Linked DNA regions of Canis lupus familiaris. The protein of the gene in region 7 interacts with the protein of the main gene of each other region in a pairwise test. Links are inferred from orthologs where the notes say so. Each region holds a gene or a part of one and is shown on either strand. Other genes may lie near its edges.

Evidence for each region.
Region 1: the proteins of PNMA1 (region 7) and MCM7 interact in binary tests that used the Homo sapiens proteins (3 or more experiments, as listed by UniProt). The two-hybrid records come from large-scale screens. The link is inferred for Canis lupus familiaris from reciprocal best matches to the Homo sapiens genes PNMA1 and MCM7.
Region 2: the proteins of PNMA1 (region 7) and MRPL11 interact in binary tests that used the Homo sapiens proteins (3 or more experiments, as listed by UniProt). The two-hybrid records come from large-scale screens. The link is inferred for Canis lupus familiaris from reciprocal best matches to the Homo sapiens genes PNMA1 and MRPL11.
Region 3: the proteins of PNMA1 (region 7) and RUSC1 interact in binary tests that used the Homo sapiens proteins (3 or more experiments, as listed by UniProt). The two-hybrid records come from large-scale screens. The link is inferred for Canis lupus familiaris from reciprocal best matches to the Homo sapiens genes PNMA1 and RUSC1.
Region 4: the proteins of PNMA1 (region 7) and TCEANC interact in binary tests that used the Homo sapiens proteins (3 or more experiments, as listed by UniProt). The two-hybrid records come from large-scale screens. The link is inferred for Canis lupus familiaris from reciprocal best matches to the Homo sapiens genes PNMA1 and TCEANC.
Region 5: the proteins of PNMA1 (region 7) and SPG7 interact in binary tests that used the Homo sapiens proteins (3 or more experiments, as listed by UniProt). The two-hybrid records come from large-scale screens. The link is inferred for Canis lupus familiaris from reciprocal best matches to the Homo sapiens genes PNMA1 and SPG7.
Region 6: the proteins of PNMA1 (region 7) and TNNI1 interact in binary tests that used the Homo sapiens proteins (3 or more experiments, as listed by UniProt). The two-hybrid records come from large-scale screens. The link is inferred for Canis lupus familiaris from reciprocal best matches to the Homo sapiens genes PNMA1 and TNNI1.

The regions. Positions count from the first base shown.
Region 1 is NC_049227.1:9,437,341-9,441,564, reverse strand, and holds the start of MCM7 (DNA replication licensing factor MCM7), read right to left. Parts: upstream 2,801-4,224; 5' UTR 2,674-2,800; coding exon 2,643-2,673; intron 2,199-2,642; exon of another isoform or gene 2,119-2,198; intron 1,831-2,118; exon of another isoform or gene 1,807-1,830; intron 1,797-1,806; exon of another isoform or gene 1,654-1,796; intron 1,549-1,653; coding exon 1,469-1,548; intron 1,176-1,468; coding exon 1,011-1,175; intron 836-1,010; coding exon 711-835; intron 625-710; coding exon 444-624; intron 140-443; coding exon 2-139; intron 1-1. Other genes in the region: AP4M1 (AP-4 complex subunit mu-1), read left to right, coding at 3,112-3,169, 3,266-3,354, 3,697-3,803, 3,883-3,979, 4,111-4,221. UniProt on the Homo sapiens protein: Acts as a component of the MCM2-7 complex (MCM complex) which is the replicative helicase essential for 'once per cell cycle' DNA replication initiation and elongation in eukaryotic cells.
Region 2 is NC_049239.1:51,392,305-51,396,425, reverse strand, and holds the start of MRPL11 (39S ribosomal protein L11, mitochondrial), read right to left. Parts: upstream 2,801-4,121; 5' UTR 2,703-2,800; coding exon 2,580-2,702; intron 2,194-2,579; coding exon 2,098-2,193; intron 1,542-2,097; coding exon 1,448-1,541; intron 1,362-1,447; coding exon 1,202-1,361; intron 1-1,201.
Region 3 is NC_049228.1:42,224,805-42,228,846, forward strand, and holds the start of RUSC1 (RUN and SH3 domain-containing protein 1), read right to left. Parts: upstream 2,801-4,042; 5' UTR 2,649-2,800; intron 2,002-2,648; 5' UTR 1,917-2,001; coding exon 598-1,916; coding exon of another isoform or gene 584-597; intron 316-583; coding exon 1-315. Other genes in the region: FDPS (farnesyl pyrophosphate synthase), read right to left, coding at 3,087-3,287, 3,685-3,819, 3,909-3,986. UniProt on the Homo sapiens protein: Associates with the adapter-like complex 4 (AP-4) and may therefore play a role in vesicular trafficking of proteins at the trans-Golgi network. Signaling adapter which plays a role in neuronal differentiation.
Region 4 is NC_049260.1:10,112,905-10,117,138, reverse strand, and holds the start of TCEANC (transcription elongation factor A N-terminal and central domain-containing protein), read right to left. Parts: upstream 2,801-4,234; 5' UTR 2,698-2,800; intron 369-2,697; exon of another isoform or gene 368-368; 5' UTR 241-367; intron 1-240.
Region 5 is NC_049226.1:64,512,039-64,516,077, forward strand, and holds the start of SPG7 (paraplegin), read right to left. Parts: upstream 2,801-4,039; 5' UTR 2,763-2,800; coding exon 2,580-2,762; intron 1-2,579. UniProt on the Homo sapiens protein: Catalytic component of the m-AAA protease, a protease that plays a key role in proteostasis of inner mitochondrial membrane proteins, and which is essential for axonal and neuron development.
Region 6 is NC_049228.1:1,607,608-1,610,360, forward strand, and holds the end of TNNI1 (troponin I, slow skeletal muscle), read left to right. Parts: coding exon 1-47; intron 48-896; coding exon 897-1,004; 3' UTR 1,005-1,006; intron 1,007-1,871; 3' UTR 1,872-2,253; downstream 2,254-2,753. UniProt on the Homo sapiens protein: Troponin I is the inhibitory subunit of troponin, the thin filament regulatory complex which confers calcium-sensitivity to striated muscle actomyosin ATPase activity.
Region 7 is NC_049229.1:47,276,435-47,280,399, forward strand, and holds PNMA1 (paraneoplastic antigen Ma1), read right to left. Parts: upstream 2,627-3,965; 5' UTR 2,373-2,626; coding exon 1,311-2,372; 3' UTR 501-1,310; downstream 1-500.

The DNA.
Region 1 (4,224 bases), on a different chromosome or scaffold from region 7:
CATGTTCCTGCATCTTCATCTCTTGGAATTTGATGAATTTGGAACCACGTGTCTGCAGATACAGCCGCCCTCCTGAGCGATTGGTCTGGCACTCCTGGCTGGGGCACATGATCAGAGGCATGAAAGTAGGAGACTGGATCTAGAATGCAAGAAAAAGCAAAAAGCCATGAGTCCGTCACCTGAGTCAACATTTCCTCTTCCCCATAGCACACATCGCACACTGCCAACGTTTTGACCTGTCCTGAGTCAATAAGCATAGGAACCAAAAACCCATAAAGGACGATGGAAAGACCACTACGGACCAGAAAAACAATGATAAGTAAACACACAGTTGTGTTTCATAACGAACACAGCAAACAACAGATAACTACCAGGAGTTAAAAGTAATTCTGGGGCAAACCACTAACAATTAAATATGTTCCTATTCCTTGCTCCCTACATACCGGCTGGTAGGTCTCTGCTCCACACTGGTCACAAGTGTAAGTGGCCACCACCATCCTGGGTTTGACTTCGGAGACACGAGTGACAATTCCACGTACGGTGACCAATTTCCCCACAGAGTCAGCCCGTACTTCCCGGATCACACGAGGCTTGTTACTGCTTGGGCCTTGAAAGTAGAGCTCACTAAGGGAGAGAAAAGAGTCATTACAAAGGTTCTGAAGCACAAGCTTGCACAAGCTTCCACAGCCTTCCTCGCTGAGACCACTCACAATCTGCGCATGAGTTCGGGAGGGTACTGGTTCTGCGGGCTTCGGGCTGCCCCAGGGTCGCGGCTCCGCTGTTCCATCATCAGCCGATGTTCAATGTAAACATCCAGAACATCTTTGTTTACCACCTCAAGAGAAAAGAAAGATAGAAGAAAAAACGTGTGGCAGGACTAGAGAACGAAAGACCACAAAGGGAACCAGGCAGAAATTACTGCCCCCTTTCTGCCAACTCTGAAAAACCAGCATCTGAGAAGCTTCTGGAAAGCAACCTGTGTTGCCCTGTGTTGTCCTGCAACCACTCACCTCCCTCTCCTTGTACTGAGGCAGCAGCTCTTGTACAGCATCAGCAAAGAGCCTGGTGTAGCGTCTGGCATTCTCACAGATGGAGTCCACCAACTCAGGGTCATCCTCAGCTACATCATCTAGGTCTATGTACATTGCCACTTGTTCCCGATGAGCCAGTTGAACCTGGGGTAAGGACGAGACAGAGCTGTGTACACCATGGTCAGCAGTGTCCCCCACCCACAAGGGTAGAAAGAAGCATGAGACAAAGCAATACTCACTTCTCAGCCCCCCAAAGACAGCCCTCTAACTTCTAAAGAGCACACTGCTCATTACCCACACAGAATGACTTCCACTTACTAAATATTAAGAATCACACTGAAGCTGTTACCTACATGTACACTTACTGAAGCAAGCCAGGCCACCTCTTACAGCTCCTTAAGCAACCACCCATTCCCTCCACTTTTTCTATGACTCACCAACTGGTTCCCGTACTTGAACTGCTTCTTGCCAAATTCATCATCCTGATAAAACTCTTGTAGGAATTTCTTAACCTTTTCTGCAAGGAAAACGTAAATCATGAGAATGAGTCTTTCAGATACTTTACCACAAAACCCCTTGATACGCTTCTTTAAAAAACTCGCTTTTACTTCGTAATTCTTACCAAGTAGAGCAGAACTCCTTCTAACAGGTCTATTCTCACCTAGAGAAGGGGCCCCGGGCAGTCAGGAGCTTTACCCAACAACCTTCCCCCAGGGAATCCCAGTGTCTCCCCTGGTTACAAATCTCAGTACTCGTTCCCAAAGGCCTTTCACACCCCGCCACACGCTCTGAGCTCAAGGTTCTCAGTTTTTCTTCCACGCGTTGAGATTCCTCTTTTTCTTCGGTCTCCTCAGTCTCTCCACTAGGCCCAGCCTGCACCCCACCCCCTCTCCCGCCACTGCTTCCGCTCTTAGTAAACAAAGAAGCACATGGGCCCAGATGCAGCCGCCTCACAGCCCGGGATTCCTCCGCCCAGGGCGGGAGCCCGTCCGGCGATTGGCCGGCTCGTCAAGGGCCACTCCGTCCCACCCGACCACCTCCTTTCTCGGCCTCCCGCGAAGCCCCCCAGTTTCAGGCACGCCCCCACCCTGAGCAGCTCTTTCCGAGGCCGCGGCGCGGAAGGACACTGTTTACAGACGACACTCCCTCCAGCGACGTCGCGCAACTTCCGCCCGCCTTCACTTCCGCTTAGAGGTTGGCCTAAAATGGCCAATCCCGGCACTCAGCGGCCGGGGCCCGCCCGCCCCCGGGACTCCGGCGCGTCTCGAGAGGGCGCGGGCGCTCCGAATGTCTAAGGGTGCGCAGGGAGGGGGGACCCGGGGTCCTTGTCCTTGGGGGCGGAAAGCCCTTTGGGTCTCCTGAGGTCCCGGTCTCTCCTGGGCGCGACCCTCCCCCGCCCACCGCGACCCGCCACTCCTTCCCCAGGCATGACTGGCTCTTCGACTTCCGCGGCCCGCGCGCCTCCCACGCACCGTCTGCCTCTGCCCTGCAGCCTCTCGACCCTGCCTCTGGCCGCGCGCCCCGGGGCCCCAGGACGCCGGCTCACGCCAACAGGTGTTGGACCGCAGGCTTCCCGCGCAGGCCGCTCCTCCCAAGTTTGCATATCCTCACCTTTCTCGAGCACGTAGTCTTTAACTGCCATCGCCCGTGCGGCAGCAGCTGGCGGGCTCAAGGCGCTCACTCCCAGGACAGCAGAAAGCGTCCGCGCGGCGGGCTCCTGCCGACCAACCGAAATTGGCGCGAAACGTCGCCCCCCACGTGACGGGCGCCGCCGCGTGCGGGCCTATCAAAGAGGAGGCCCTTCGCCCCTCCCACTCTCCCGCAGGCCATAGCTTCGGCCAATCACCAGGCGAGTCTGGACTGAGTGACGGGGCAGCGGCGCGGGCACCCGAGCTGCGGAGAGGCGAGGCGGGGCGGGGCGGGGCGGGCGGGGCGGGCGCCGGGTTTCCCGCGGTCCGAGCTGGCTCGGACCGAGAGAAATTGCTCTTAAAGGACCAGCCTACGCGCGTCCTTTTGTTCCGGGGCCGCAGGGCGGGGCAGGCCCAAGTTTCGCTGTCTCCTTGCGGACTCTCCAACCACCATGATCTCCCAGTTCTTCATTCTGTCTTCCAAAGGGGACCCGCTCATCTACAAGGATTGTATCCTTGACCTGCGGGGCGGGAGGCCTGGGTGGGAGTAGTGCCCTAGAGCCCGCCCGTGTCGCCGACTCCTTAGCTGTCCTTCCACCCGGTCAGTCCGCGGGGACAGTGGCGGTCGGGATGTGGCCGAGCTCTTCTACCGGAAGCTGACGGGACTGCCCGGAGATGAGTCCCCGGTTGTCATGGTAACCTGCGGCGGGGCTTGGGGTAGGCTCCCGGAGGGCTGGGGGGCGCCTCCTTCCTCCCAGGACCGTTTCCCTGAGAGCTGCCGCTGGGGGGCGCGGGCGGGGCGGGGGGTACGTTCTGCCAAGTAATCCGAGCGACAGTTTCTGGAGCGCTAACACTCTACGGGGCGCAGCTCCGCCAGTCCGGGGTAGGTACCAGGGCCACTTCCACTTCCACATTAGGCAGCTGGGTCCCGGGGCGGGGGCGAGGTGCCTGGCTCGCCCCAAGGCCCACCGCTAGCAAGTCTCGCGGGTCCTTAATCACATGTCTTCCTAACGCTCTCTTCCTCGCCTCCGCCTCAGCACCACGATGACCGTCATTTCATTCACATCAGACACAGCGGCCTCTATTTGGTAGCCACGACTTCAGAAAACATTTCTCCCTTCAGCCTTCTAGAGCTGCTCTCCCGGTGAGGAGGGCAGGGCTGGGCACCTGGGCGCGGGGATACGACCGTAGAAGGGTATGCACACACAGCCCTGTTTTCTCAGGTTGGCCACTCTCCTGGGCGACTACTGTGGCTCCTTGAGTGAGGGGACCATCTCCCGAAACGTGGCTCTTGTCTACGAACTCCTGGATGAAGTGCTGGTGAGGGCCAGGGGTCTCCCCCAAGTGCCCAGTGCCCTGCAAATGTGGGCTGGGGTGGGAAAACTAAGTCCATTCACTTTCACCTTTTTCCTCCACTCACCACCCAAAGGCTGTCCTTCCTCTGCCCCCAGGACTATGGCTATGTGCAGACCACATCCATGGAGATGCTGAGGAACTTCATCCAGACAGAGGCTGTGGTCAGCAAGCCTTTCAGCCTCTTTGACCTCAGCAGCGTTGGCTTGGTT
Region 2 (4,121 bases), on a different chromosome or scaffold from region 7:
TGCCCCTTCCTCTGTGCCCCCAAACACTTTGTACAAAGAAGTCGTCAGGCTATACACATGTGCCTCCCCCCAAGCAAGGGTCAGATCGACTCACTTCTGTACTTCTAGTCAAAGTGAAGATTTGAGAAAGTCAGGTCTATCCTTGTACCACGTTTAATCCCACTTCTCTTAGGAAACAAATGTTAGCCTCAGCATGAGATGTAACATCAGCAGCAAGAGGCCCATAAAGGGCCAAGCCCCGCCCTTGCTGTTGTCTGAGCCCTCAGATGATGTATGCTCTCCCATCCAACATCTCACTTCAGAGAAATAATTCCTGAGGTCATCCCAAACCCTAGGAGGGGGCTTCCTGTTGGCCTCAGGATCAAATATGAACTTCAGATAGATGGAAACAGCCTTCAGCCTTCCCAACTGGTCCATTTGTCTCACCTCTCTTCCTATTCCCCACTCTGCTTCTAGCACCATACGCCAGAGCACACTGCATTTATTTGCTTCACTTTTTCACCTCCTGTCCTTCACAGGGATCTTCCCACTTCTTGGAATGCTTGTCCCAGTCCTTGACCTCCTTTTCCAAGTCTGTGCAGATGTCACCTCCTCTGTGAAGTCCTCATTGACACACCAGGCAAAATTAGGAGCTCTACTCTTTCCTCAAGAACCTGCAGTTCCTTTTGTCAACAATGACCATCTAGCAGCCTAATGCTCCACTTACACATCTGCCTCCAGCTCTCAACTGTGAACTCCCTAGGAGTGGGGCCAAGCATGGCTATCTCATTGTTCCTCGCTGTATCTTTTTTTTTTTAAGATTTTATTTATTTATTCATGAAAGACAAAGAGAGAGAGAGAGAGAGAGAGAGAGAGGCAGAGACACAGGCAGAGGGAGAAGCAGGTTCCATGCAGGGAGCCTGATGTGGGACTTGATACCGGGACTCCAGGATCACGCCCTGGGCCAAAGGCAGATGCTAAACCACTGAGCCACCCAGTGATTTCTTCCTCGCTGTATCTAACGTCCAGAAAAATGTCTGACACATAACAGGTACTTAATATTCATATTCCAAATGGATGAATAAGGCTGCCCACTCCCAAGAATCTAAGGTCCTTGACTCAGAAGCTGGTCCTCCCACTGTAATGGGCCCTCCTGGCTTTGCTCCAGAGTCAAGAACTTTCCAAGCCCTCCCCTCACATTGCACCTTCCCAAGACACTCACTCCTTCACCACACGAATGCCCAGGGAACGGGCAGAGCCAATGATGGAGCGAACCACAGAGGACAGGGGCACATCCTGCAGGGCGAAGGCCTCATCCTGAGCTTTAACTTGGGCGATCTCATACACATGCTTCAAGGTCACCAGGCCAGCCACCTCCTTCCCTGGGAGGAAGAAACAAGTAGACCTTGAGGTATCTCGGCTTCCTTCCAGAGCCCCCAAAATCCCGGGTACCCACCCTGACCCTTACCTGTTTGCCGGGCCCCCTTCTCAATCCCAGCAGCTGCTTTCAGGAAGTAGGAAACAGTGGGTTGTCCGATCTTGATTTCAAATGTCCTATCAGGCTTCATGGGGAAGAAAATACAGGAGAATATCTCTCTTATCTCCTCTAGGCCCTGCTGCCCCAGCCCAGAGAACTTTTAACTTCTGTTCCCCCTTCCCTTGACTCATCTTCCACTGGCGTCCATTTAACAGATCATGAAAACACGGGGAAAATAAATCTGCAGCTAACAGCTTTGTCACCTCTAGTCCAGGCTCAGCTCTGCTGTAGAAGCCCGAGTGAGATGGACAGGCAAAGGGAGGAAATGCAATATGGCAGGAAAGGCTCAGAAAAGATATGGTCTAGTCTCCACTGTGTAAATGGGGAAAGTGGGACTCGGTGATAGGAAGAGCCTCACCCAAAATTAAAAGCAGAGTAGCAACCCCAGTAACCAAGGGGAAGAAAAACAAATAGGATCATTAGGTGACGGGGATTAAGGAGTGCAATGAGCACCGCGTGTTGCATGGAACCGGTGAATCACTATATCATACACTCAAAGTTAATATAACACTGTATACCGGCTAACTGGAATAAAAATAAAAACTTAAAAGCCAAACAGGATCAAAGTCCCGACTGTGCACCTTCACAAAAATCTTGGTGGGCAAAGGAATGCCTTCTTTGATGTCCTTTGTCTTCTCGTTGAACTCCTTGCAGAACTGGTTGATGGAAACACCTCTCTGGGTGGGAAGCACGGACATTAGTGTGGGGACAAGGGGGCGGCTTCCTACCATACGGGAGATTCTATCCCTTTCCTCCTTCGTCTTCATCTCTTAAAGGTCCCATCCTCCTCTTATTAACCCAGATTCAACTAACACTTTACGCGCCAGAGGATCTGTATGCATCGTCCCTCTATCCTCCCAAGGGGCCGCTGACCAAGGACGGAGGAAGCTTAGCCTCGAACAGGCCACGGAATGAACGCAAAGACCAAAAGCGTGTGGGCAGCAAAGCCGCGCTTTGACCTTACCTTACCAAGCCGAGCCCGCACCCTCCACCCGCTCCGGGTCCCAGTACTAGGTCCCACCCCCACCACGCCTCCCGCTCCGGGTTCCAGCCGCGGGACCACCTGACCCAGGATGGGACCTAGAGGAGGCCCGGTCATGGCCTGGCCTGCCCGCACGATGGTCCGGATCACGCCGCCGGCCTCGGGCTTCCTGAGGGCCCGAGCGGCTCGGTTCAGCTTCGACATGACGCGGGGTTGCGGCCTCAGTTCAGCTCAGGATTACAGCAAAAGCGACGGCCACGGGCGCCGCCATCCTGAGTCAGAGGTCAAGGGTCCTCACGTTAGGTTTGGTCATATGACGCCAACAAAAAGCAGCGTTGTTTCGGCCTTTCTATTCTCCAACTAGTACGCCAAAGAGAGTAATATGAAGGATAAAAAAAACTTTTACCTCACGATCTGAAGATAAGGGAAGGCCTGAATGGTTCAGATACATGCATTCCTCCTGCAGAGCACATAGGCAGTACCTCGGACAGCTAAACTGGAGGAGGAGGAGGCCCTTAATGTTCGCACAGCATTGTGGGCATGGTAGTTTTGACCGCTTACGCAAATCTCGCACGTTGCTATGCTCTGGGGGGCCATCTGCTGGATGTGATTATAATCCTGGGGTTTGAAGGGAATTTAGAGCTCCTTCTCGGGCGTGAGCATCTCTAACTTTCCCAGCCTGTTTCGTCACCTGTTGTTGAAAGGCACTATGATTAAGAGTATAGACCCGGGAAGTAAGTACCCGGTTGTTCCTCTTGCTGGCTGTGAACTTGTTCAAATTACTTATGTTCACTTTCCTCCCCTGTACAAAGATTATAATATGTAGACATAGCTCTAGGGACTGTTGTGAAGATTGAGTTAGCAGTGTGTTAGGACAATGCCCGGCATCTAGTAAGCATGTGCTATTAACTGTACAACGAAGACAAAACCTTCACAGAGCTGTTGTGAGACTTATAAAAATAAGCCAGCATCTTATTATGCCTTTTTTTTTTTTTTTTTTTTTGAGCACTTGCTATATCCAGGCATGGTGCCGAGTGCTTTAAGGGCATTATTATCTCATTTAGTCCTCACAATGGCATGAGGTAAATTCTTTTATTTTACCTTTTTGACAAACGAGAATGCTGACGCACAAAAAGGAGGTCAAAAACAACTACCCTGTGTTGACAAGGCTGGGAAACCAATATTGGTATTACCGGATTCTAGACCTTGTGCCATGTACCATGACTCTACATTGCCTCATCTAGTAAAAGGAGATAATCTGTGCTAAACCACACTGTAAACTGTCATATTTTTATTATGATTTTTTTGGACTTCCACTAATTAAATGTGATTATTCCTGCCTCTGAAGTTTCTCAAGTTCTTTATAATGCTCTATCTCATTAGCCTTAGCCAGGGTCTGGAATCAAGCTGGCTCCTGATTCACTAGTTGTAAAACATTGGGCAAAATAATTAAGTTTCCTGTGCTTTGGTTTACTCACTAGCAAAACGGGGCTAGCAATAGTACTAACCTCCCAGGAAATGAGTTAATTCAGGTAAAGCACCTTGAAGAGAGCCCAGCTAGATATGATTTATCTCTGAGTGCCCCCACACTGCCCAGCCTTTATTTACACTTTTATTTTACAA
Region 3 (4,042 bases), on a different chromosome or scaffold from region 7:
GGGGCCGCGGCGGGGAAGGTGCTGCTTCTGGGAAAGAGCGGGGAGAGCAGCAGGGCCAGCTCGGGGCTGGCCAGGCAGGGCAGGGCCCCCCGAGCCGGGGGCGAGTGCGCGCCCACCGGGGACTGGCGGACCGGCAGCAGCCGCTCCTGCGGAGGCCTCGGCGCGCCCAGTAGCCGCAGCCCCGCGCGGGGAGGGCCGGCGGGACGCGCCGGGAGCGGAGTCCCCGCCGTGCCCGCGCCCTCCAGCAGGGGGCGCGGGGCGGCCGCGGACCGGGGGGCGGAGGGCGGGCGCGGCGGGGGGGGGCCGGCTGCAGCGGGGGGGGCGGGGGGAGCGAGGCGGCAGCCAGGCGGGACGGGCGGAGAAAGAGGGAGCAGAGAGTTAGTGCCATAGCCCCGCGGCCCCCCAGGTCCCCCTCCCGGAGCGCTCGCCGTTGGCGGGGCGGGAGGCGGGGCGAGGGGGGCGGGAAGGGGGCGGGTGGCCCAGACCGGGGGCGCGGGGCGGGCCGGAGGCGGGGGGTAGGGAGCGAGGCCGCAGCCCCTCACCTACCCGCCCCCCGACCCCGCGGCTCCCTGCGGCGGCTTACCCGCGCGGCTGGCCTGCGCGCCCGGCTCCTCGGGCTCCCGGGCGGCGGCGGCCTCCTGGCCAGCCACGGGGCTGCCCGCCCTGCCCTCCTCGGGCGGCCGCTCGGTGATGGGCTGCAGCCCGGGCCGGTTCTTCCTCCTCCGCGGTGGGACGGGCGGGGGCGGGGGCCGGGGCGGCACCAAGGCCCAGCCGACCGGGGGATCCCGGGGCGGCACCGGCGGGGGCGTGGCCCGGCTCCGGGAGCGGAGCTCCTTGAAGGTGGTGACCTCCCGGGGCGGCGCCGGGGAGCCTCCCAGGGAGCCGCTGGGGGGCAGCTCGCTGTCGGGCGAGAATACGATGAGCCAGTCGCTGCGGTCCTTCTTGACCTGCGGCACGGGGGGCAGCCCCGGGCCCCGCTTGCGCTTCTGGGCCAGCTCATGGAAGGACGTGATTGTCCGGTGCGACGCCGGCTCCCCGCTGACGTCACTCCACCCCGCATCTGTTTTTGGGCTGGCTTCGGTGATAACTGGGTTGCTTTTGCAGCCGGAGTCGAGTTTTGCAGGTTCCGTTGTCCAGCTAGAGCTGCTGTTCCCGCGGATGGTGCAGCCAGAGTCAATGATCCCCGTGGCTTTCCAGCCGACATCGGGGAGCTCCGTGTCAATTTTCCAAATGGGGTTGATTTTCCAGCTGGGTTCGGTTTTCCCAGCGTCGGGCTCCGGGAGCTCGGAGGCAAGGAGATCCTGCTCCCCTCCCTCCTCCTCCTCCTCTAGCCCCGGGGAAGGGGGCTCCTGGCAGGTGGTCAGGGTGTTGCGGTTGGAGTCCAGACCGGGGCTCCGTGGGGAGGACGCTCCGGAGCAGGAATCGGGCGAGCAACAGAAGCTGTCCGGAGAGCAGGCGCCAGGGCCTGCGGAGGCCAGCGGGGAGCCCTGCTCCAGGGGGATGATGCTGGGCTGAGGGTGGACATCTTCCTCACCTGGGAGGCCCTGCGAGTACACTGAGATGGGGGACTCATCTGGACTAAGATCTGAGCAGGAGCTGAGCGAGGAGGAGCAGCCCGGGTCCGAGGGAGAGGCAGCCCCCTCCTCCTCCTGCACTGGGTCCTGTCGATTCTCCAAGCTGGGCCCGTGCTCCTGGCAGCATCGGCAGGGCACAGCTGGGCTGTTGGAATTGGCGTCCACCAGGGCCCCGCTGCAGGGGCCGCGGCTCTCCTTGCCCCCTGTGTCTCCGGGGGGAGGGGATGTGCTCAAGGACCCCTCCCGTAGCTCAGGACGGCGGGACAAGTGCAGGCCCAGGGACACATGCTGGAGGTGGATGTGGTTGAGGTTGCAGAGCAAAGCCCTCTGAGGGGACAGCATTGTGCCGGCAGCGATGAGGTGGCCTCTGGAGAGTCGGGAGGCTCGGGCCTCTCACACCGCCTACCTGGCAACCGCAGAGGCAGACCTGGAAGACAGGGAGAGTGATACCCAGCCAGAGAGGACGCGGGGCGCGGCGATGACGGGCAGCTGCAGCGGTCATGAAAGGCACCGGCTGCTTTGGACAGTATTTAAATAAGACGCCAATGTCCGTCGACTGACCGGTAGTTTCCACTGCAGTATTTGCAGGTGGAGCCCAAAGGAGCCCCCCGGGACTGGGGCGGGGAGGGTCAAGAAATGCGGCTGCGCTCTGGATCTCTGTGGAGGTGCGGGGGCTTGAAAAAGGATGGAGCCCAGGATAGAGCCTCGGATCGTCTCTGCTGCAGTCTGGCCCTGCACCGCACCCCCGCTTCCCCAGCCTGCCCTTCGCTCCCAGGGGAAGGGGCTGCGGGAGGCCCCGCCCAGATGCTCCGAAATCGGGTGGGGGAGGCGCGGCCAGCTTGCTAATGCAGGAGAGTAGCGGGCGAGCGTGGGGGCGAGCACCCGGCAGCTGGCGGCGCGCAGGTCCGCGGAGCAGGTGGGCCAGCAGATCTCTGCTCCGACGCCGCGCTCACCCATTCTCTCCGCGCTCGGCTCTGTCCCCCAGACGCCACCCCACTCCTCCTCTATGCAATTTTCCTGCGCCCCCCCTCCTGCCCCACCCAGCGTGCCCGGATGCGTCCCCCCTGACCTTACCCGGGTCCTCCAGCGACCGCTGCAGCCCGGCTCCTCCACGACTCCCAAGGTCCCAGTCGGACCGCACCGACTGGATGGGGGGCGCCAGGACGACCCGCCGGCGCTGCGCAGCCGCGCCCCTTCACGCAGGGGCGGGGCGGGGCTCAGACCCCGCCCCCAGCGCTTGACGTCTCGCCTGTGTCACCCATCCAGGCTCCGCGCAGCTTTAGTCTTAAGCTCTAGGTCCCAAGGGTCCTGAAGGCAAGACCCTGGTCCCGGCCACCCCTACTAACCCTGACTTCTCCCAACTGAGCTGCGGCGCAGGCCGGCACCACTCTCCCCAAACCCTGCCTACTGGGGACACAGCTGTGCCCCAGACCATTACAAGCAGGCACAGACGCACGAGAAGATTGGACAATTTATTGAGAGCCGCCCCGCCCCACCCTCGCCGTCTCTAGGTCACTTTTTCCTCTTGTAGATGTTGTGCGCCAGCCCCAGAAAGATGGCTGGGGGCAGGGGTGAGGCGCACCGCTCAATGAGGCTCATGAGGCGGCTATAGCTGTCTTCCTCATACTGCGTGAAAACAGCCGGCAGGTTCAGCTCCTCGTACAGCGCCTTCACTCGGGCCACCTTCTCCGCCTCCTTCTGCCCATAATTCTCCTGGAAGGGGTTGGAGGCAGGGAAACTGGCTTAGCCTTCTCCTGCTATCAGGGCATCTGGCACGCCCCTCCTCTATCTATTCCAGCCTCCCATTTCCCGATTTCCCGGGTCTTTGAACCTCCCTCTCCTGCTGCACTAGTTCAGGCCAGTTTCCTCTACACCAGCACTGCCGAGGCCGAGGCCGAGGCTGGGGCTGGCTAATTGTGGGGAAGCTCTGCTGTGCATTGGAGGATGTCTGGCGGCTTTCCTGGCCTCTACCCGCTAGAGATACCTGCAGCCCGTGCACACGCCCACCAAGTTATGACAAAAAAATGTCTGCTGATGCTGCCAAGCCCCTTTGAGAATCCTTATATGCCCCCTTTCCTGGGAGCTCCAGGATCCATGGCCTCCCAAGCACCTGAAGGACTTTGCGCTGCTCTGGAGATGCCTGCTGCAGACACTGAACCACCAGCCAGCTGCACTTGTTGTCCTGAATGTCTGTGCCAATCTTGCCCGTCACACTGGGGTCCCCAAAGAGATCCAGGAAATCATCCTGGGCAGAGGGCAGAGGAGGACCAATGAAGACACTCCACGCAGGGCACTAGGCTGGCAGTGGCCTGCTCCCCACCAGTGCCCTCCTACCTGAATCTGAAAGAACTCCCCCATCTCCAGCAGGATCTTCTTAGCATTGGCATGCTCTTTCTCCCCATCGATGCCTGCCTACAGTGAAGAAAGGATCACTAGATCAAACGCCAGGGGTGCCTCCACTTTCCTTG
Region 4 (4,234 bases), on a different chromosome or scaffold from region 7:
GCTACAGGACCGACTCAGTTACACTGCCATCAGCCCAAAGACAGCTCCTGACCTGCTCCTCCAGTGAATGTATAGAACTTCCCTGCTTTTGGATTTTGCTGACTGAGCCCCATTAGGAAATATTAAAAACACCTCCTGTGCACAGCTCACCTGAGACTCTTCTCTACAATTATAACTGGTGGTTGCAATGTCTTAAGCGTCACGATGCACCCAGTTCCCCGGACTTATTCCCTCCCTTACCTCTTAACAGCAGAAGGCAATGTACATTTATTGAACTGTACGTGCCACACACATTTATGTCATCTCCATCCTTGCGATGACCCCAAGTCAGGTATGTGGCTTATCTCCATCTTCCAGATGAGGAAGCCTGTTAAAAAAAAAAATCATAAAAATTTTTTTAAATTTAAAAACGTCTTTAAAAAAATCAAATATTTGTGATGGCTTTTCACTGTGCAGACTACATTAAAATTATTTTTTTAAAGATTCTCCTTAATCACAAGAGACACACAGAGAGCGACCCAGAGACACAGGCAGAGGGAGAAGCAGGCTCCCTGCGTGGAGACCGATGCAGGACTCGATCCCAGGACCCCAGGATCATGCCCTGAGCCGAAGGCAGACACTCAACCACTGAGCCACCCAGGCGTCCCTAAAATGTTTTTTATTGTCTGCTTTCCCCACAAGACCATAAGAGAATGATGTCTGTTTCATTCACGGAGACACGCCCAGCAGACACCTGGCCAGTTCTTACTATTACTCAACAAATTCTTATTAAATGAGAAAAGAGGATCCAGAATGCTTCCTCTCCTCTCTGCTTGTACGCCCCATTCTTTTTTTTTTTTCAAGATTTTTTATTTATTTGGGGTGGAGCACAACCAGAGGGGAGGGGCAGAGGCAGAGGGAGAAGCAGACACACCCCTGAGCAGGGAGCCTGACGCGTGGCTGGATCCCAGGACCTCAAGAGCATGACCTGAGCCAAAGGCAGATGCCTAACTGACTGAGCCACCCAGGCGCCCCTGTACACTTCATTCTTTCCACTACAGACCAGCTTGCTCGTACCCACTGCACCTAAGCTCACTGCCCCTCAGCTTCTTCCACATGAGCCAACCTCATCTCAATTCTAGTTCGAAAAGTTATGTAAAAGACAAAACAAAAAGGAGTAGCAGCAGTAGCAGCAGCAGCACCATGGTGCCCACTGTGGGTTGAGTGGACTGCAGAGATCAAGCTTGTGGGGATAAGAAGGGTCAAGAAGCTAGAGTTCACAGAAGCCGAGGGGCGTTGAGCATGTTCCGTAAGTTTCTTGATGATTCTGTGCCTCAGTTTCTTCATCTACAAAACTGGGGAAATTCCGCATCTTAGGCTTAATATGGGAAATAAATGAGATAGTCCTTATAAAGTCCTTAGAGCCATGCCTGTCACACAGTAAGCCTACATGACAATTACACAGGACTATAATTAAAAGATTCACGTGACATGGATCTCCATGGCAGGCACTGTTGTACAGAACTTTGTTGTTTGTTGGCGAACTTCTTCTGGAAAAGGCCAGATAGTAAATACTGTAAGCTGTGCAGGCCATCCAGTCTCTGTATGGACTACTCAAGTCTGCTGCTCTGGTAGCAGGAACAGCAGCCATAGACGACACATAAAAGAATGAGTATGGCTTTGCTCCAATGTTTTTCAAAGACAGGTAGGCTGGATTTGGCTGTAGGCCACAGTTTGCTGAGCCCTTTTAAAGCAGTGCTATCCAACAGAAATACAATGCAAGCCACAGATAAAATTTAAAATTTTCTAGTACCCACGTTAAAAAAATAAACAAGTGAAGGTTACAGCATGTTACCTAACCAGTGTATCCAAAATACTGCCACTTCAACATGTAATTAATAAAAACAAATTGTTGATATTTTACATTCTCTTTTTCATACTTATTTCCCCCAAATTCGCTGTTTGACACTCTGACGCATCTCAATTAGGACCAGGAACATTTCAAGTGCTCCATGTAGCTCGTGGTTACCTATGGGACAACACAGTTCTAGAGCATATGCTAATACAGATAACGCTTACGTGCACACCTATTGCCCCAGCTTCTGAATATACATGAAAATGAGTCTATGCCGGGCGGGCAGGTGCAGGCCCTACATATCTGTGGACTGAATGCATAGAAAAGCTTGTTAATATTAACTAATATGGGCACGCTGCACACATCTGCACACATCTGGCTTAATCCCCGGGGGACACGAGCGATCAAAGAGAAATTTTGTTTCTAGTCATAACCCACGCACAGCTCTGCAGCTACACAGGGGAGCCCCTTCCCCCAGGGAGAGAACCGATGCCAAACGCTGGGTCGGGGCGCCGCGGTTTCCGAACAGCCACGCAACACTGCGCTAGTGTCCCTTCGTGTTAGGACGCCCCCCGGCACAGGTGCAGAGGGCGGAAGGGAGCAGCGCAAGGGCCCGCGGGGGCTCGGGTTCGGGAGAGGGGCGCGGGCCGCCAGCTCGGAGGCGGCGGCGGCCCCCGGGGATCCGCCCACCCCAGCGACGTCAGCCCGAGAAGAGGCGCGAGGGCGCTACAGGGCCCGCCCGCCCCGGGACGCACCGCGGCCCCCCGCGCCCTCCCGGAGCAGCGGTGAGCGTCCCCGAACAGGGGTGCGCGTCCCCGAGCGCCGCCGGGCACACACACGCGACAACCTAGAGCGTCGCTCACCGAGAAGCGCACACGCCCGGGAATCTCCGGAGACGTCGGCGCCGGGACAGAGCTTCCGGCACGCGGGGCGGGGCCACCGAGGCTCCACCAATCCGAGGCCGGCGGCTGGAGACCGCAGGCCGGGCGCATGCGTGCTGGGTACGTGGCGTCTGCGCAGAGGGACCGGCGGCCGTCAAGCCCGCGCCGCCGCTCGCTGTGGGGCGGCCCCGGGCGTGGCGGGCGACGTGGCCCCGGGGCCTCCTGAGTTGAAGGCAGCTGCCCCCAGGAGCGTTTTTCAGCTGCGAAGTGTGTTGAACTAACTCCACGGCGTACGCTTTGTGCTTTCAGTCAAGGCAGTGCTCAGCTGAAAGGTTGACAAAACGGTGGCCGGATGCGATTGATTTCATGCAGTAATTAATTAACAAGTATGTATTGCAGCCCTAGCCCGCGTCCCTTGGTAAGGAAGTACTGAACATTCACCAGGTGGCCGTGGCACCGCTCATCCGGACACATCCTCTCCCTGCAACGGTCCGATAAAATCAAAGCGACGGTAAAACTCGGGGCTTTAGTTTCAAACGGCTATTACTGCCGCACGATGGTTTCTATCACAACTAAGTGAGACACCAATGAATCTAATTGGTCGAGCAGGGACGCTCCATAGGGTATAACAAGAAACTCATTTTTTCTCACCGCTGCTCTGTTGGCTCTCCTGCCCCTTGGCTGCTCCAGGGCTGGAGCTTGAGCAAACCGCGCAGCTTTCCCGGTCACTTTCAGGTTCAATGAAACAATTTGATGAGTGTTGTGGGTTGAATGGTGCCCCGGCCCCCAAGATAGATACAGCCACTTCCTAAATCTGCCTCCCCCAAACCTATCCAGACAACTTTACTTGGGAAAAAATGGGGGGGGGGGGGCTTTGTAAATATAATTAAGGATCTGAAGATGAGACCATCCTGGATCACTGGGTTGGGCCCCAAATCCAACGAGAGACAATCCTTGTAAGAGAAGACAAGACACTGGAGTTGAGTGAAGGTCATGTGAAGACAAAGGTGGACATTTGACTCTAAACAGACCTGTATTACCATCCCTTCCTCCTGCTGCCCTTACCCTGGAGAAACCAGAAAATAGTGCAGAAAGTGTGCAATAGGAGAGTGAAGAACTTAATCCACATAACGTTCCCTTTGCTCTTCCACAGAGTTACAGGTCACACCTGAACTGAGAGGGAGCCAGAGCTTTGAATTGGATGACTGATTGAAGTTTCCATATTAGATTAGGCTGGCTTTTTTAACCATCTAGTAATAAGATAAACTTCTAGAATTCTAACAGCCCTCTCCCACTCTTGCCTTCTCCTATACACGAGCTGAAGGGGGGTGAGGAACCACAGGACGCAGAAGTAGTTTCGGGCTCTCCACCTAGCCTGTACGGATGGTACACTGTGTCTCTTTAGAACCAGAGGACACTCAGCCCTATGCTCAACTTTGGGGCCCTGGGCAAAACCCTGAGTCAAGAGAAGTCTCATTTAACACCCCCTTCTACCTGCCGTAATCTGGGGTCATTTCCA
Region 5 (4,039 bases), on a different chromosome or scaffold from region 7:
CTAAGCATTATTTCAAACTTTCAACATCAAAACAAAAGTGATGCAAGGAAGCCAGTCAAAGAAACATAGAAGGAAAGGCAGGGAGTGCAGACTGCCATTCTGTGCCCTGAGGATCACAGCTCCCTGGAAGGGCTAAGTGGAAGGGAGGGCCCAGAGCCCTTACACCTGACCTCTCCAGACAATGCTCCTTGCAGAACATTTTCAGGAACTATAGGGGGTTACTAGTCTGTCTTTCTGAAGTTCTGCTTTCAAGATGAGCATTTTCCCACTTGTGTTTTATGCCAAGGTCAATGATCCAATTTAATTTTTTTATCTCTTTGTTGGCACTTTCTTCATTTGTTTTATTTCTTTGTTTTTAATTTTTTCCTTAGCTCATCTCTGCCCTGCTATCAAGGAAAGTAATACCCCGGGGTGCCTGAGTGGCTCATTCGGTAAAGTGTCTGCCTTCAGCTCAGATCAGGATCCTGGGGTCCTGGGATGGAGCCCCACATCAGGTTCCCTGCTCAGTGGGGAGGTTTCTCCCTATGCTCCCCGCTTGTGCTCGCTCTCACTCTAATAAACAAAATATTAAAAATAAAGTAATATCCTGCTCAATGTTTTTGGGTAGCAAGCACATTCCATGTAATTTCCTGTTAGCAACAGGAAGAACATTCCTCATCTATAGTTATTGTCCCACTTAATTAAAACTACTACACCTGGCTCAGTGATGACTGAGTTCAGGAGTCCTATAAGGAGTAGACACAGAATGTAGACTGGGCCTAATAAACGAGTATCATGAATTTGAAAGATATAAAAATTTAAAAATTGTCATTCTCTAAAGTCAGATCCAAACAGTTTGTTTAACCCAGGTTACTTAAGTTTACTTCTGTTACAGCCACTGGTGAGGGAGCCTGCGGAGATTCCACAATATGTGAATTTCCTACTTCAGCCTTTCCTTTCATAGAATAAGCATGGGGTCAGACTAAAGACAATATTAATTATGATTTTCCTTTTCAATAGAACTAAAAGTAGAAAGGAAAAAAGTGTAATACATCTATACGTCCCTCAGGTTCAGGCTCGGGAGGAACAACCAGTGATCTACAATAGAACTATAATACAAACGGGTCTTCAAGTTACGGTAAAAAAGAACAATAATAAATTATGACCTCAAGTATGTTAAGCTCCTAAGAAAGGACTGGAAGAAAAAGCAGCCAAGATGGCACTAGAGCTTGGGATCCTTGTTTCTAGGTAGAGGTCACTTGAGCAGATCCTGAAGCACAGCCCTCACTTAAGGGTGCTCAATTAGGGGGATCCCTGGGTGGCTCAGCGGTTTGGCGCCTGCCTTTGGCCCAGGGAGCCATCCTGGAGTCCCGGGATCGAGTCCCGAGTCGGGCTCCCGACATGGAGCCTGCTTCTCCCTCCTCCTGTGTCTCTGCCTCTCTCTATCATAATAAATATATCTTTAAAAAAAAAAAAAAAGAGTGCTCAATTAATCCAGGTCCATAACGCCCTCCGCTAGGAGACAAACCTAAGACAGCTGAGGGAGATCTGCTCATACAAAACTGTCCTCCCACTTGAGCGATGGCTAGGTACCATCATCCTCACAACGTCTGTATGTGAGCCAATGGTCAAATAGTTCTCGGTCAAACTCTTACTGGATTCGGTTTTTAAACATTTTTTAAAACTTTATTTTTAAGTAATCTCTACAGCCCACGTGGATGGGGCTCGAACTCATAACCCGAGGATCTAGCCGCTTGCTCCACTGATTGGGCCAGGCATCCCTGGATTCAGTTTGAAGACGCTAGGAAAGTAAGCAAATGGGCAGAAAAAAATCAATACACGAGAAAAGGGCTGGAAAGATGCAGGCTGGGGCCTGTGCGGGGTCTCTTCCAGGGCTGCCCTGGGGTGGGGGGAATGGGGGGACCCGCGGCTAGGTGCTGGCTGGGGGTGAGGAGCTGAGGGGTGAGAGAATGAAGGGTGAGGGGATGCGAGCGTGAGGGGACGAGGGGTAAGGAAATGAAGGGGTGAGGGGATAGGGGGTGAGGGGATGGGGGGTGAGGGGTGAGAGGATGCCTGGGTGAGGGGATGGGGTGAGGGGATGAGGGGTAAGGGAATGAAGGGGTGAGGAGATGGGGGTGAGGGGATGGGGGGCTGAGGGGTGAGAGAATGAGGGGTGAGGGGGATGCGTGGGTGAGGGGATGAGGGGTAAGGGAATGAAGGGATAAGGAAGGCATGAGGGAATGAAAGGGTGAGGGGAGGGGGGTGAGGGGATGGGGGCTGAGAGGTGAGAGAATGAGGGTGAGGGGATGCGTGGCTGAGGGGCTGAGGGGATGGGGGTGAGGGGATAAGAGGTAAGGGAATGAAGGGATGAGGGAATGAAGGGGTGAGGGGATGCGTGGGTGAGGGGCTGAGGGGATGGGGGTGAGGGGTAAGGGAGTGGAGGGGTGAGGGGATGCGTGGGTGAGGGCATGGGAGAGGTGAGGGGATGGGGGGGACGTGAGGAGATGGGGGTGGTGAGGGGATGAGGGGTGAGGCTGCGGGAGGGCCCAGCAGCGTGTGGGGCAGGAATGGGCGGTCCCCGACCCCAGGTCGGCGGTTACCTGCTCGGCGTGGTCTCTGGTCCCCACGAGTCGGGTCGGAGGCCTGTGGACGAAGTGGAGGCACCTCCTTCCCGCCCCGGGGGAGAGGCCTAGGGTCCAGCCAGAGCAGGGGCCCCGCAGTCGCCCAGACCCCACAGCAGGGCCCGGGCGAAGAGCTCGCAGCAGCAGGAGAGCGGCCGCCATGTTGGCCCGGAAGCGGCGCCTGCGCAGTGGAGGCCGCGCGAAAGGCGCCTGCGCAGTCGGGGCTGCCCAAGCCGGTTGCCCGCCGTCCACCCGCTGCCGCGCTCCGCCCGTGTTTCCTAGCAGCCTGCGAGGTGCAGCCAGGTCGCAGGGTCACGGGGCGGAGCGGGAGAGCCCGAGGAAACGAGCCCAGAGAGCCGGCGTTCAGACCCCGACCGCCACCGGGGTCCGGGACCCCGGCCTCAGCCACCACCCGGGATCCAAACCCCGGACTCAACCCGGACCCCAGCCTCAGTCTCCATCCCGGACTCGGACTCCGACCCCACGGCCTCAGCCTCCACCGGGGATCCAGACCCCGACCATCTGGGGACCGGGGACCCTGGTCCATCTGTCCGTGTCTTGACCGCAGGGCTTCGCCCTTGCAAGTGCAGCGGTCGGGCCTGGGGTCCAGCCTGGGGCTTAGCGGAGGGAGGGTGGCCTGGAACCCTCGGGTGCCGGGGTCCTTGTCCTAAGAGTGTTTCCTTTCGGATAATCATGGTAACTAGTGACTTTCTGCCAACGGCACGACGAAGTCTGGAAGTGGTGCCCAGCCCCGGTGACTAGGATGGCAGCCTGGAGTCAGTGTGTCGGCGCCCCCGCCCCTCTACTCCACCTGTGCACCCTTTCCCTGCGGCCTGAGGCCCAGCGCCTGAGGGCTCCGCCTTGACGCTGCTGAAGAGCTGCTGACTGCCAGCCGAAAAGCTCCTTTCCTAGAAAACTGAAAGGTTAGGTGGATGTTCCAGAGTAGGGTTATGGTAACGTTGTATTCCACAAATTCCTACAGGCATCTTAGTAAGAGCTGGTGCCCGGCTCCATAGCAGATACTCTTAAGATTTTAAGAGAGAAAGAGAGAGAGCGCGTGCGCAAGCAAGGCCTGGGTAGGGAGAGAGGGAGCAGCAGACTCCACCCCCACCCCCACCCCCGCCTTAGCGGGAGAGATGGGACTGGATCCCAGGACCCTGGGGTTGTGAAGCGAACCAAGGCAGACGCTTCACCAGGTGCCCCATATCAGGTACCCTTATAGTCACAACTCTGAAGTACTTATTTTTTTAGATTTATTTTTTATTTATTTATTCATGAGAGAGACAGAGACTTAGGCAGAAGGAGAAGCAGGCTCCTTAAGGGGCCCCAATGTGGGACTCCATCCTGGATCACACCCTAAGCTGAAGGCAGACGCTCAACCACTGAGCCAGCCAGGTGTCCCCTCTGAGGTACTTTAATACTTATTTTATGGATGAGGA
Region 6 (2,753 bases), on a different chromosome or scaffold from region 7:
ACCTGCGGGCCAACCTGAAGTCCGTGAAGAAGGAGGACACAGAGAAGGTGAGGACTCCTCTCCGCAACCTTTCGGCCCCTGTCCCCTCAGCTTCCCCTGTTACTCTGTCACATGGCCTCGGGCAGGAGCTCCCGCTGGCGGCCAGGCGGCCAGGCGGCCTGGCAGCCTGTTAGAACATTCTGGAGCTCTCTGGGAGGCCAGTGATGAAGTCTTGTGATTCTATTTTGGGAGAAAGAAGACTCGCTCCCCTCCCTCGGGCTGCTCGCCATCCGAGGAGGAAAGCAGAGGAAGCCCGAGTGAGCAACAAGGTAGAAAGCGTAGCCAGTGCAAAGAGGATGCGGAGTTAGAGTGACGGGGCGATCAGGGTGACCCCCGTCTGTCCCCACGGGTGGGGGGGGGGAAGATGGCACATCATGGGGGTCACAGGACACTGAGCACAGAAAGTAGAGAACCGAGTTCAGTCGCTGATTCAGCAACAAATCCCTGGAACGGATGGGCTGCGGCCGCGTGCTCGAGAGGGTTGGGCTCCAGAGGGCCCGCGCTGAGGCCGTGCGTGTGAAGACAACCCAAGGCTGCGAGTCCGCTGGCCAAAGGAGAGCCGGCCAGGTCGGGAGGAGGCAGGCTGCTCAGAAGAGGTGGCCCTGAGCCGGCCTCGGGCCCGAGCAGGCGGTGGCGTGGGTCTGGAGGCCGGGGCGCCCAGCTGACACGCTCCCTCTTCCCGTGCAGCCTCGGCCTCCCCGAGTCCACCCGATGCGTCCTTGGGCCCCACCCGTGGGCAGGCGTGTCGGGATTTCCTCTTTTCCAAGAGGCTGACTTTGCATCAGCAAATTTCTCTTGTGATGGGGGGGCCCAGCTGCCCTCTGGTCTCTGACGTGTGTTGGGGGGCCCGCCCGTAGGAACGCCCCGTGGAGGTGGGGGACTGGAGGAAGAACGTGGAGGCCATGTCCGGGATGGAGGGCCGGAAGAAGATGTTCGACGCCGCCAAGTCTCCGACCTCGCAGTAGAGGTAGCTAGAGACCAGCTCCCTTCTTGGGGGGCCCACCAGAATCCAACAGCTCACGGGGGCTCCGGGACGATGGGCCCAGCGGGGGGGCACTGAGGCGGCCCGCCCTGGCTCCAGCACCCCGACACCTTGGGCACGTGGTTCCAATTTTAGTATATGTGCTGCCGAAGCGAGCACGGGCACGTGGTTCCTGCTTCGGGGCGCTCCCGGCTCCCTGTCCGCAGCACTGGGGGTCCAGCAGGGAGAGTTCTCCAAGGGCGTCCCCGTCCGGCCTATCGGTTCCACCTGCAAATGCTCTGGCTTCGCCCTGGAGCGATTTGATCTGGACTGTGGGGTGGGGCCTGCCCCCGGGGTCCCTCCTGCAGGACCTTGGGAGCCGGGGTTGGACGAGCCCTAAGGGAATTTGAAGCTTTTAAAAATACCTCCTGGCAAAGGACCCCAAACTCGGAGTCCCCGGGCCCGGTGGGTGGGGGGGGGGGGTGGTGTCCGTTCAGAGAAGACGAGACCACCCCCTCTCTGAGGAAACTGCTGGAGAAAGCAGCAAGTGTAGGGCGCAGAAAAGCCCCACTGTCGCTCCGGGGGAGGTGTGAGCGGGTGACGGGGAGAGGGCCGAGGGCTGGCACCGCAGGCTTTCCGGAGCTTTCCTCTGAGGAAGCGATGGGCAGGGGCTAGCAGACGCAGGGCAAGGGCGCTGCAAGGCCGAGGGCACAGGGGGCGCATTAGCGGGGAGCAGGGGCAGGGCTTCAGAAAGGGGAGCCGAGGGAGCCCGGGCCTGGCTGAGAAGCTGGGGTTTCCTAGGAGCCCCCTGGCTGGCAGCTCTGTGTCCTACCGGTAAAGCTGTAACCCGGCGTCTGCCTCTGTCCCACAGGCCGCCCTGCCGCCCCGTGCTCTGGGCTTCCGCGTCTCGCTCCTCCCTGCAGCCCGGCTCACCTGCCTCTCTGCACCCCACCCTGCCCCTCCGGAGCACCCCCTCCTGCCCTCGCCTCTCCCCTCCAGCCTGAGCGCCCTCCTCTGGGACTGGGACTGAACAGACACCCGAGAGGACCAACCCCCGTGTCTGAAGACCTCGCCCTAGCGGGGTGTAGACGCCTGCCGGCTGCGGTGGAGCCAGGCTGAGGGGGAAGGGGTGTGAGAGCGTCTTCCCTCTGGCCCCAAGCTGCATCCCTCCACTGCTTCTCTGACCTGCAGAGTGCCCCCCACTCCGGGCATCCCAGCTTCTCCATTAAAAACCAGGCTCCTGGTCACCTCTGTCCCTCCGTGCCGGTCATGTCTGCACCATGTGAGTGCTCAGAAGGGAGGGGATCCGGAGGGACGGGTGCGCCGCCTCCAGGCAGGAGCTCAGGGTCCGAAGGAGGTCTAGGGAACTGGCAGCTGCCTGCCAAGGTCCCCCGGGCCCCTGCCGCCCAGTCCCAGTGACATCACCCCGTCACCACCCAGAATGCTCAGACGACCCCAGGCCTAACCTCTGGAACAGCCCAGCCCTCCCAGCGACCCCAGCCATCAAGGTGGGCCTCTCTACGCAGAGCCCCTTGTCTCGCCTGCTGTCACAGTCCCCTTTCTCTGACAACCTGGACCACCGCTCCCTGGCAGCTGCTGGATGTTCCTGACTGTTCTAGACGTCCCTTCCGCCCCTCACCTGGTCCTCTGCTTCCCTGGCCCGGCCCCAGGGACACCTTGTGCTTGTGTGTCTGGCCACCAGGTGGCTCCTTTCCCCATCGCCGCCCCTGGGCTCACCCGTCCTGACCCCTGC
Region 7 (3,965 bases):
GGTTTTTATTTTTTTTATGATAGTCACAGAGAGAGAGATAGAGAGAGGCAGAGACACAGGCAGAGGGAGAAGCAGGCTCCATGCACCAGGAGCCCGACGTGGGATTCGATCCCGGGTCTCCAGGATCCCGCCCTGGGCCAAAGGCAGGCGCCAAACCGCTGCGCCACCCAGGGATCCCTGAAAAGGGATTTGAAAGGGGAGAAAAAGCATTACTAGATAACATCCTGAGCCCCATTTCAGGATTTCCTAACTTTTTATAGTAAGTTAATATTGACTTAGGTCTGTTCAGCCTTCTAATATTTGCCTTGTAGAAAACATGCAAAAATTGAATACATTGAAAGGTTCTGTAATTCAAACTCAAATAGTATGCTATAAGGTTAAAGATACAGTAACTGAAGTTATATTTTTTTTAAGTGACACCAGGAAATCTTCCTAAGAGAATAAATATAGAGCTTAATTACACTGAAATTTTATATATGTGTCAGAAAAAAAAGACAATAGAATTTTTTAAATACTTTTATTCATATACATGTATTTTGACAACTTCAAATTTAGAACACTTAGAATCAGCATGAACAAGAACTACCATTCAATGACAAGGATTTGAAATGGGGGAATAGATACTGTAACTGGTTCTTATTAATCTCCCCATGCAACAAGACACTCCCTGTGTCTTGTACACAGAAAAATTGATTCACACAATTCTAGAATTGCAGTATTTTTCTAACATCCCATTCCATAGTCTCAGAATACTTTTCAATTAAAGTGATCCAGATGTTTCGAGATGAAAAATAAAACAATTTGCTTTGTAAGGCTGAATAAATAGTATGAGTCACATTTCTTTCCATTAATATAAATTAGGGAAAAAACTTAGGAACAATTTACTGTAAACACAAAAACTATTCACAATATTAGTAACAACGGCTCATATTTTTACCGAACACTTCCTGTGTTTGCCAGGCCCCACGCTAAAACATCTGAACATGCAATTTCACAATTATCTCAATGAGAAGTGTCAGGGATTCACATGGTTTTTACAACGGATGATTGCCACAATGACAGCTGGCACTGAGCACTTGTGTACAAGTCTTTACCTGGCATTGCAGCGAGTACGACTCACTTGTAGCAGCTCAGGGTGCTCATTTGCGCGATTGTACTAATGTTACATGAATACTCAGGCCTGACTCCCTACCCCCACCCCCAAAACAGCACATGGCGGAAGTCTTTACCACTAGGGACACATCTGTAAGAGCACGGAGACAAGGTAAGCGGCTGCGATCTAGATGTGCACTGTCGCCGTTTCCTGGGCCTCAGAAGTGCCCCTCCAAGCCTAACTGCAGGAGGGCGGCCTCCGCCTCCTCCTCCTCCTCCTTGGCCTCCTCCTCGCGGATCTGCACCAGCAACTGGAAGAGGTTAGGGGCAGGCCCTTCCGCGGCCCCGGTCAGCCACAGCTGCCTCCGGATGGCCCCGCTGTGGTTGGCCCCGGCAATGACCTGCTCCAGGCGGGCCTGGTTCACGTTATCTTTATCTATGGCCCCCTTCTCCACCACCTTCTGCAGAAGAGGCTCCAGACGAATGACATACGCAGATAACTTTTCTCCCGGGTTCTGGTAAGTGTTCAGAAATCTGACCTGCGCATCCCTAGAGCTCTCGACGCTCCCAAACACCTGCTCAAGCGCCTTCAGGCATTCGGCAGTGGTTATCGCAGGGTTGTTCGTCTTGAGGATGCGGATGACATCAGCGGCGGGGCCCCGAAGACTCTCCATCAACCGCCGCCTCTTTTCTACATCAGACACCTGCCACTCCTCTATGACCTCATTAGTGTGTTCCAGCCAGGGATCAAAGGTCTCCTCCCCAGGCCCCGGGATGTCCCTCCCCGAGAACAGCGTCAACTTCTTGTACCATATGGACTCAACAAGAGGCTGAATAACGTTATCTAAAATATAGTTTAGCATCTCTGCTGGCATATCTGGACCCGGGGCCGGAGTGGGGTTCTGAAACCCAAGGACGCGGGCAACATCTTGCACGGTCCACCCCTCTCTCGCTAGGAAGAGGTGCAACCTTTCTAAAAATTCAGCATCGGAAGTCGGGGGTTTAAAGACCACTTTCCAGACACCTCCTTTACCCGGCATCTCCCTGGGGATCGCGGCGTAATCGACAGCGCCAGTGAGCTCTAACAAGGCTGCTTTCGCATTCTCTTCCCTCCAAAACATCCTCCCAAGCACTCGATAGGGCACCTGGGGCATCGCAGCCTGGAGGGTCTCCTCGATTTCAGCCTCATCACAGTTCACTGGGATCCCCCAGACCAGCAGGGCTCTCTGGGAGTTCACATCCATCCCCCGGCACCAGTCTTCCAACAGCGTCATCGCCATTTCCCCAACTAGCGAGGGCCCCGATTCTACAAAGACGGATTAGGCTGTGGCTCCCTGCGCTCTAGGGCTCAGCGCGGCAGCAGACACCCCCCCACCCCCGTAGGCGCGAGGGAGGCAAGCTTGACGCAATCACAATTAACAAACGACACCAGAGTCCTGCCCTCTTCCTTCGCGGCCCCCAAAGGCAGTCCGCCGGCTGGTCCCCGGAGCCAAGCCCCGGGAGGCTCGGGCAGTCGCCTCACGCGTCCGCCGCCACCGGCGTCCTCAGTCGGGGCCCGCGGCCCGGGTCCCCCACCTGCAGCCGGGGGTCGCGTCCCGTCGCAGCGCAGGAGGCGGGCAGCGAGCGCGGCTGGCGAGGGCTGCGCCGCGGGGCCGGAGGCGCCCGGGTGTGGTCGCGGGGCGTGGCCGCCTCCTCCCGGCAGCCGGGCGCCGGCACTCGGGGCTCCCCTCGGAGGCGATCCCGGCGTCCGCGGCCGGAGCCCGGCCTCCAGTCGGCCGAGGAGCGGCTGCTCTGCAGACGAGGGCTGTGCGGTCCCCGGAGGCAGAGCCTGTTCTGAGGTCGCGGCGGTGGCTGCCACGCCAGCCCGCCAGCGGCTTCTTTGCAGACGCAGGGATGGCTCCGGGCGGTGAGGGCGGCTGAGGACCGAGCACACGGGCGGCGGAGGCGCCGAAGGACGGGGAAGCGGGGCCACAGGCGGCGGCGGCGCGCAGGCTGCGGCGGGCTGCGGCGGTGTGGCGCAGCGGGGCCGCCGGGGTCCCACCGCAGCCCGCGGAGGCGTTACTGCCGCAGTGCGGGGCGGGGCCGGCTGCGGAGCCGCTTCCTCCGCGCCCCGCCCCCGAGCGTAGCCATGGCAACGGCGGCCCGGACTCCCGCCCGCTCCGCGCGCTCCCGGGGTTGGGGCTGGGGGCGGGGTGGGGCGGTTGCAGAGGCGCTGGCCTGACGCTCCGGACACTGCTCTCTTTGGTGGCGCATTTCCTTTTTCACATTTTCCAGTTTTTATTTCATTTCTTAAAAAAGATTTTATTTATTCGTGAGAGACACAGAAAGAGAGGCAGTGACACAGGCAGAGGGAGAAGCAGGCTCCACGCAGGGAGCCCGACGCGGGACTCAATCCTGGCACTCGAGGAGCACACCCTGGGCCGAAGGCAGGCGCCAAACCGCTGAGCCACCCGGGCTGCCCTTTATTTCATTTTTTAAAAAAGATTTTATTTATTCATGAGGGGTGGGCAGAGACAGAGGCGGAGGGAGAAGCAGGTTCCCTGCAGGGAGCCCCATGCGGGGCTCTATCCCAGGACCCCAGGATCCTGACCTGAGCCAAAGGCAGGAGGTCAAACACTGAGCCACCCAGGTGCCCTTAAAAAAAATTTTTTTTTTTTTTTTTAACAAAGCACCTTGTTTAAAAGATAATATAATTCTGGAGTGGAGTTAAGGCTGCAAATGCCTCCGTCACTGGTCTTCCGCTGGGTAGGAAAATACGGTCTTTAGCACCGCAGCTTCCCTGTCCCACCTGATTGCATTCTGCACCCTCCATACATCCCCTCAAACTAACACGTTGGAAGCGTGCCGTGTTCATATTTTTGTGTGAGACACTG